Sus scrofa: one gene and its partner. The protein of the gene in region 1 purifies or fractionates together with the protein of each later gene. This does not show direct contact. Links are inferred from orthologs where the notes say so. Each region holds a gene or a part of one and is shown in the gene's direction. Other genes may lie near its edges.

Region 1 (3,809 bases):
TATGGCTAATGCTGCTGTAAACATTAGTGAACGAGTGTCTGGGTCAAGTACCTGTTTTCAGTGCTGTTGGGCATGTATCTCAGAGTGGAATTGCTGGGTCATGTGGTAAAAATCCATGTTTAGCTTTTTGAGAAACCTAAACTTTTTTTTTTTTTTTTTTTAAACCTAAGTGCCAGGTTTCCCATCTCGTCTCACTTCGGAGATGCCATCCATGCTCTCACAGCTGTGCCAGAACTGGCTGGGACAGGCTCGTGAGAATCAATTGTTAGCATCTCTCTCCAGTTCCACATTGAGTGACGTCCTATTATGACTAGCTTGACATCAGCCACAGTAGTATTTTACCCCACAGAAATCAGCAAGTGCTATAAAGCAGGTCCCCCCGCTCCCCAGAGAGTCAGGCCTTAAGAGGTTGCCGGCTCATTACTGCATGTTGCCATCTTTCCTCCCTCCCCCAGTCTTGAGCTGTGTCACTGTGTTTCAGGCTCCGTGTTGGGGTCTTGGGATGCAAGGTGAGTCAGACCCTCTCAGTGCCATGAAGGGCTTCCAGGTAGGATGAGCAGACACTCGTGCAGCTGAGTCACAGCCGAAACTCGTTTTTTGTCTCAGGCTCCTTCTGGTAACGTGGTCAAGGTTACAGAGGCAGCCTCTGGATGTCCCAGTGTATCTTCACAGCAAAATCAGGACGTAACCAATAAGACATTAATCTTCTCTGGTCTCTTCATCGTGCTCGTGTTCCGTGCACACTCCAACGAGTCAGATCCTCAGAGCCACTGGGCTTCCGCTGCTGGATCAGGCGGAGCCGCGGTTCTGGAGTGAGAACCTGTGTTGTATAGATAGGCCCTATTGTGTTCCAAGAGGATGTCTTCTCGGAGGCCTGGCACAGAACTGCATTTGGTCTATTTAAAGACATTGATTCTGGAACTTCTGGCAGCCCAGATGTCTTTCCCTCGACCTCTCGATATTGATAATTCTACTTCTGCCTTTCGGGTTTCAGCCACCTCTGTGATCTGGTTTCAGGTAATTGAGGGTTTCCTGAGCAAAGAAGTAAGTTACATCGTGTCCAGCCGCAGGGAGGCGAAGGCAGAGAGTGGAGGGACGAGTCACAGAGGCTGCCCCAGCCCCGGCGAGGTCAGAGTGGAGACACCGTCCGTGGCCAACCCGAAAGACAGCCATGCCAGGCCTGCCCAGAAACCCGTGGAGTCGGTAAGAACCTCTCAGGGCGCAAAAGGTGTGCCCTCCAAACGAGGGAAGTATGCCTCAGTGACCCCTTTTAGGCAGTTTCTGGTTTATTTTCATCTGGTTTATTTTCATCTCTCATTTGAATTCAGGGCCCAAAACTGTCTTATCATAGCTCTGGAGGCAGGCACCTCAGCGTCATGCTGTGCCCTCCCTTCTGTGATAAATGTCCACTTTTTGTTTGTTTGTTTTTTGATTTTTTTTTTTTTTTTTTGGCTGCCCTGTGGCATAGGGAGTTCCTGGGCCAGGGATCCAATCCAAGCCGCATTTATAACGGCTCACAGCTGGAACAATTCCAGATCTTTAACTCACTGTGCTGGGCTGGGGATCGAACCTGCGTCCCAGCATTCCCAAGACGTCGCAGGTCCCACTGAGCCACAGCAGGAACTCCAGTGTTCATTTTTTATGGGACCTCAGAGCCTGAGGTTCAAAAACAGTAGGAAGGTCCTCTCTAAACCAGAGAGGGCTTGTTGCAAGTGTCCAAGGCTTGTCTGCCCCGGGGTTCGGGCTCTTACAGAGAGGTCTCAGGACATTTGTAACCCTTGACCTTGGGGGGCCAGGACCCAGGCCACCTGGCTGCAGCTCCCTGGGGCTTTCCCTTTACCTCTGAAAGGCTCTCCGGGCTCTCCCATCCACTGCTTCTCAGCCGTTACTGCTCCTGGCTTTATGAGGGCCCTGACTTCCAGGCGTCCTGGCAGCCCCTGTGGACACATCTGTGTGTGCGCAGGGGCGCTCCACAGCTCCCCTCACTGCTCCCTCTTCCGTCAGGTGCCTCTGAGCAGAGGGAAGGAGCTCCTGCAAAAGGCCATCCGAAACCAGGTGAGCTGAGGGAGACGGGCTGGAGGTTCAGGGAGGGAGTCAGCCTGGCCTCCCGAGCTTCTTCAGAAGTTCTCACACAGAAGGCACGTGCTCTAAGACCTGGAGCGTTGTCATGACTCCTCCTTACACACAAGGAGGCGGGGCTCAGAGAAGTTAAGTAATCTGTCCAGCATGGAGGTGATTTGACCCCATCATCTCTCCAACTCCTGAGCCTCCCAAGGGAACCTTGGAGCAAAGCTGTGGGGTGTGTCAGACTTTGTACGTCTTTCACAGATAGCTGTTTTTTTTGCGGGGCGCAGGGGGGTGAGAGCATACCCACGGCATATGGAAGTTCTCAGGCTAGGGGTCGAATCGGAACTACAGCTGCTGGCCGACACCACAGCCACGCCGATGGGAACTCCTCACAAGTAGCTCTTCATCCCCTTTGTGAGAATCCAAGGCATTACAGTTACGTGACAGGAGGACGAGTTGAGATGATCTGGCGGGAGGAGTCGTTAAAGTGACATCAAGTAAAAAATAAATTAATTTTTTTAAAAAGTGACATCAAGTGGGTGCCTTGGCTGTGCCGAGGGAGGGCGGTGTTGCCAGCGGGAGAGGTCAGCAGGTGTTTACTGTGTCCTGCCTGTGGGCTGAGAGCTTGCCTCACAGGGCCTCTCCCGACACCCGCTCTCGTCCAAGTACAGGCCTCTTCTCGCTCACCAGCTAGAGGTCCGCAGTCCGTCCCCGCCCGATGTGGCCAGCCCTTGCGGAGGACAGGGTCTTCCCCAGGGGGTTGGGTTGACTCTCCAGACCCTCTGCTCTCTCCCCTGTCTGCCTCCCTGCAACTACCCCCCTCGTGGATGACCCCGAGCTCCCAGAAGCGGGGCCAGCCTGCCCCATCGTGGTCAGACCTTGGGGAGTCACATGCTCCTGCCTGACTTTGCTTGTCTTTCCAGGGGAGCAGCAGCAGCCTCCTGAGCAACGCCCGCTCCTGGGGAGTGCGGATTCTACACGTGGACGGTACCCTTCCTGCCGGGGGGCTTCTGCGGAGGGGACTGTTGGTGACAGACTGGGAGCCTCAGCTGTGAGAGGGATCATAGCTGTGTTCTAGCTGGAGCCAGATGTGCTCAGTTAGTGTGATGCTCCCAGGCAGGCGGTATAGAGACCAGCAGTGGCAATAGAGCACGGGTACTGGCAGGTGCTGCTTTGTTTAACCCACACGGCAGTTCCCCTGGCTGGTGTGATGATCCTGTTTTACAAATAAGAAAATAATCCTAAGAGTTCCCACTGTGGCATGTGGGTTAAGAATCTGACTGCAGTGGCTCAGGTCACTATGGAGATGCGAGTTTGATCCCCGGCCCAGCCCCCGCAGTGACTTAAAGGCTCTGGCATTGGCTGCAGTGTAGGTTGCAGCTGCTGCTTGGATTCAGTCCCTGGCCTGGGAACTTCCATATGCTGTGGGTGTGGCCGTCTAAAAGGGGGAAAAAAAAGAAAGAAAGAAGAAAAAAGAAAATAATCCTATGTCCATGACCCCTTGTCAGGTATTTACTCTCCTCTAGGAATCACTTCATTTAATCCTCACTGCAGTCTTCTGCCCATTGTACAGATAAGGAAATTGAGCTCAGAGACCGGATTGAGTACATTATCCATAGTGAGTAGTGTGGCTACATTCCCACCCAGTTTGGCTGGATTGAACTTTTTTTTTTTTTTTTTTTTTTTTTGGTCTTTTTCTACGGTCTCATCTGCGGGATATGGAGGTTCCCAGGCTAGGGGTC
Region 2 (3,809 bases), on another chromosome or scaffold:
GGAGAGCACGTTTGCCTTTGCATGCAAGTAGGAAGAGCTCTTCAGAAACTTGAGAGTGGCCTCTTTTACTTGGTGATGTCATCTTGTTTTCTTTATTCCTGGCGACGTAGAATAACCTGAACCAAATAATAGAACCTTTCTCACACTCCCACCTCCAGTTCTTTGCCACATAAATTCTTTTCTTCCCTTCAAGACTTTCTTAAGCTTTCATGAGCTTTTCTGATTAACTCTAGTACATATGTGAACAGATAGCTCAGTAAGTAATTCCTCAAAATGGAAATACATTTTTTTTTTGGTCCTTTTAAGGGCCTCACCCGCGGCATATGGAGGTTCCCAGGCTAGGGGTCGAATCCGAGCTGTTGCTGCCGGCCTACACCACAGCAGTACCAGATCCGAGCCACGTCTGTGTGTGACCTACACCATAGCTCATGTCAACACCGGATCCTTAACCCACTGAGCAAGGCCGGGGTCAGACCCACAACCTCGTGGTTCCTAGTCGGATTCATTTTCGCTGTGCCACAATGGGAACTCCAGAAATAGGTTTTTATACCTCAGCGTTCCTGATGTGTTCTGTTTTTCTGTTTTGGCTGTCATCATCTACTACCTCTTCTTATGCCTGGATGTTACCTTAAAACCTGTCTGGAGCAAGACCTGGGAACTAGTGGGAGGGGAAGGGACCCATAGAAGCAAAATCTAGGATTTCCATCACACTGGATTATCATTTGCCTTCTAGTAACTTTTATTTGCATAGATACTACTTGACTGTGAAGTAAATGGGTTAAGTGTTATTTTTTGTTCTTACGTAATTAAACTTTAACGTAACTAGAAACATCTCCTTTCATCATCATTAGGCGGCAGCAGGTGGCACCTCGGGCAGGTACACCAGGCTTCAGAGCACCAGAGGTCTTGACCAAGTGCCCCAATCAGACCACAGGTAGGTCACGTTGGAAACACAGAACCCAGTTCAGCTGGTTTCCACGGGTGTATCTTAGGATTGCTGTCTAGTTAGGACTAAGTCGGAGCTGTCCTGCTTCTCCCTAAGGTCTGGAGGTGATCCTGGCACTTCAGCGTAGTCCCGTTTTTGACCTGGTGCTGTGTATGAAAGCTTCTAACCCGAGTGTTGCTTTGGGTTGTTTTTTTTTTCCTCTGTAGATTAGGTTTTGCTTATCTTTCTACAAGGTGATTTTATCAGGAATAATTCTAACATCACCTTTGTGGGGACTTGGGCTTAGCAGTCTTGGCCAGCTTCAGTCTTGCAACGTCTTATGTTTGCCTCGTACCTCAGACGTCTTCTGTGGTACGCATATGATTGTGTGTTTGATTAAAATTTTTTGGTTGTGAAGACAGTGTGATAGCATTGCGGAGATTTGCAAAAGAGAAAAAACTCTAACCGGAAAGAGTCGTCACGGATCAGGATCCCAGAGGACACCTTCTTGAGGCGTTGCGTCTTCACGTGGGTTATGGACTTGACGGAAGTGGATTCGTTTGGCAGATGCTCCTTCTGTGCTTTGCGGGTGACAGAAAAGGATCTGCTTTCGCTGTAGTCAGACACTCGCTCCGGTGATTATGAAGCAGTCTGTTCAGTATGCAGAGTGTTTTAGGGTCTCTGACTCCTCTCATCTGAGGGGTCATGGAAGGAAGCTCACGGGAGAGGGAACGCCTGGGAAGAGAATGTAGATTAGAACAGGAGGGTCACACGAGCAGGGGAACCCAAGATAGCGCGGTCACGCGGGAAGCCGTCCAAGCTTCGTGTTGCCAGACTGTGTGGGAAGTCAGAGTGGTGACACATGAACGGGGAGAGAGGTGGCGAAGGTCAGGGTTCGGGTGTCGTGTGGCTCGGACCACATCCTGCAGGTTCGGGAAAGGGGGAGAGCGCCGGAGCTGACGGTCTTCTGGAGGGTCCTTCGGCAGGTGTGCAGAGAGGGCTCGGCCCCGGGGAGACGATGGAGGCCCGGACGCGGCGGGAGCGGGAGGAGTGAACCGAAGTGAAGACGGGACAGGCAGAGCTTGGCGGATAACTGGATGTGGGATTTGGGTGGCAGAGAAAAGGCCTCCAGAATGTTTACCAGATTCCTAGCTTGGGGACCTTTAAGGGGCAACCGGCGTGGAGAAAAAAGAAGTAGCCGGTGTACAGGGAAGGAAAAAGGGGACGGGGGCATCGCTGGTTTGAGAGCGTGTGGAACATCCAGACAGAGATGCCCAGCGGGGTGATAGTGCGTCTGGAGCGCGGGGACGTCTGGGCCGCCGGTGGCACCGAGTGTCTTCCTTACCACGCGAGGGGTAGTGGAAGCTGTGGACGGGCCGGTCCAGCAGAGTCCACAGGGGAGGCGTTGGAACTCTGGGGGCACCTCAGCCCCTGAGGCTTGGAGGAAACACTGCAGGCGCGGGCAGAGGTACGCAGGGAGCCAGGAACGGCAGGTGTGCGGCAGCGGCCAAGGGAGTGGAGCAGGTAACCTGGTGATGCAGGGAGTTCAGCAGTTAGGACAGAAGACGAGCTTCCCCAAGCTGTTTGTTTCCTTTAATGAGCTTCTTCACGGGAGGCTGAGCTGGTCCTAACCGGCAGGACTCTGGAGACGGACGTTGTCACAGCAGAGGTGGGGTTGGTTGGCACCTGGCTGAAGGCAAGCCTCTGATGTTCATACGTTGCACTGCGGGGCAACGCGTTCACTGCTGTGGTGTGTAGATCCTGAGCAGCATCCAGACTCTTCTCCTACACAGCCACTTTGGATTTGTTTTGATGTTATAAAATGTGCATTTACTGCGTGACGAAACACCCTTTTAAACAGACCAGCACGTTGCTCGAGAAAGAAGACTGTGTATTTTGTATTAAGGATGTTAGACAAATTACATTAAAAGCACCTGAGGAACTTTTTAAAAAAAAAAACTGATGCTGTACAGTAAGGAAAAAAAATTGTATTGGGGAAATAACTATTAAAAAAACAAACAAAAAAAAAAAACCCTGATGCTTAAGCACTACTCCAGAACAGTTGAATCAGAACCTCTTGAGGGGATTGGGCATCAGAATATTTTTAAGGCTCTTAAGGTGGTTGAAGATACAGTAAAGGTTGCGAACTGTTGATACAGAAGTAAAATTATGGGTTGGGGATTTTTCTCAAAGCTGATTTTCTGTTACAGCAATTGACATGTGGTCTGCAGGTGTCATATTCCTCTCTCTGCTTAGTGGACGGTATCCATTTTATAAAGCAAGTGATGATTTAACTGCTCTGGCTCAAATTATGACCATTCGTGGATCCAGGGAAACTATCCAGGCTGCTAAAACTTTTGGTAAGCAGTTTTACATTATAGAACAAAACAAATACCTTTTGCATATCTCCTATACATCACTTAAATTGTGAAATTCTCTTGACAAATAAACATCTGCGTTCGTAAAGTTTTCTGATGTTGGAAAGTTTCTTAGTTGTTTGAAAATTAACGGCATTGTGTAAGAAAGTAATTTATCCCTTCCCTTCTGTAGGTGCGATCCTTTCACCTTAGCAAGCGCAAAGTACTGTGCTTCTCTGTTGTTTAAAGCTCAGCTTTATAATCTCAAAAGAGTAAGGAATAAAATCTTAACTCCTTGTACTTGTGGTTTGACTGTCTTACATGTTTTTCATTTGCTTGGGTTTGTTTACTGTTACATGCATTAAGCATCGTGTGTGCTTGGGCCTGCCGAAACGACCTTAGTCTGTGCTAAGAAGAAAAGAGGTAATTTGAATAGAGTGTTGTAAGGACGCCGGGAGGGAACGAGATCGGAAGCCTGTTAGGGTGGCTGAGGACGGAATGCCTCCACTCTGCGGGTGCTGCCATCA

Evidence for each region.
Region 2: the proteins of DBF4B (region 1) and CDC7 purify together in Homo sapiens (affinity purification with mass spectrometry; 3 studies listed by BioGRID and IntAct, counting the BioPlex papers as one, with this or other methods). This does not show direct contact. The link is inferred for Sus scrofa from reciprocal best matches to the Homo sapiens genes DBF4B and CDC7.

Annotation. Positions count from the first base shown.
Region 1 is NC_010454.4:18,619,689-18,623,497, reverse strand, and holds part of DBF4B (protein DBF4 homolog B), read left to right. Parts: intron 1-1,017; coding exon 1,018-1,203; intron 1,204-2,004; coding exon 2,005-2,055; intron 2,056-2,990; coding exon 2,991-3,054; intron 3,055-3,809. UniProt on the Homo sapiens protein: Regulatory subunit for CDC7 which activates its kinase activity thereby playing a central role in DNA replication and cell proliferation. Required for progression of S and M phases.
Region 2 is NC_010446.5:125,438,580-125,442,388, reverse strand, and holds part of CDC7 (cell division cycle 7-related protein kinase), read left to right. Parts: intron 1-851; coding exon 852-934; intron 935-3,135; coding exon 3,136-3,285; coding exon of another isoform or gene 3,286-3,356; exon of another isoform or gene 3,357-3,809. UniProt on the Homo sapiens protein: Kinase involved in initiation of DNA replication. Phosphorylates critical substrates that regulate the G1/S phase transition and initiation of DNA replication, such as MCM proteins and CLASPIN.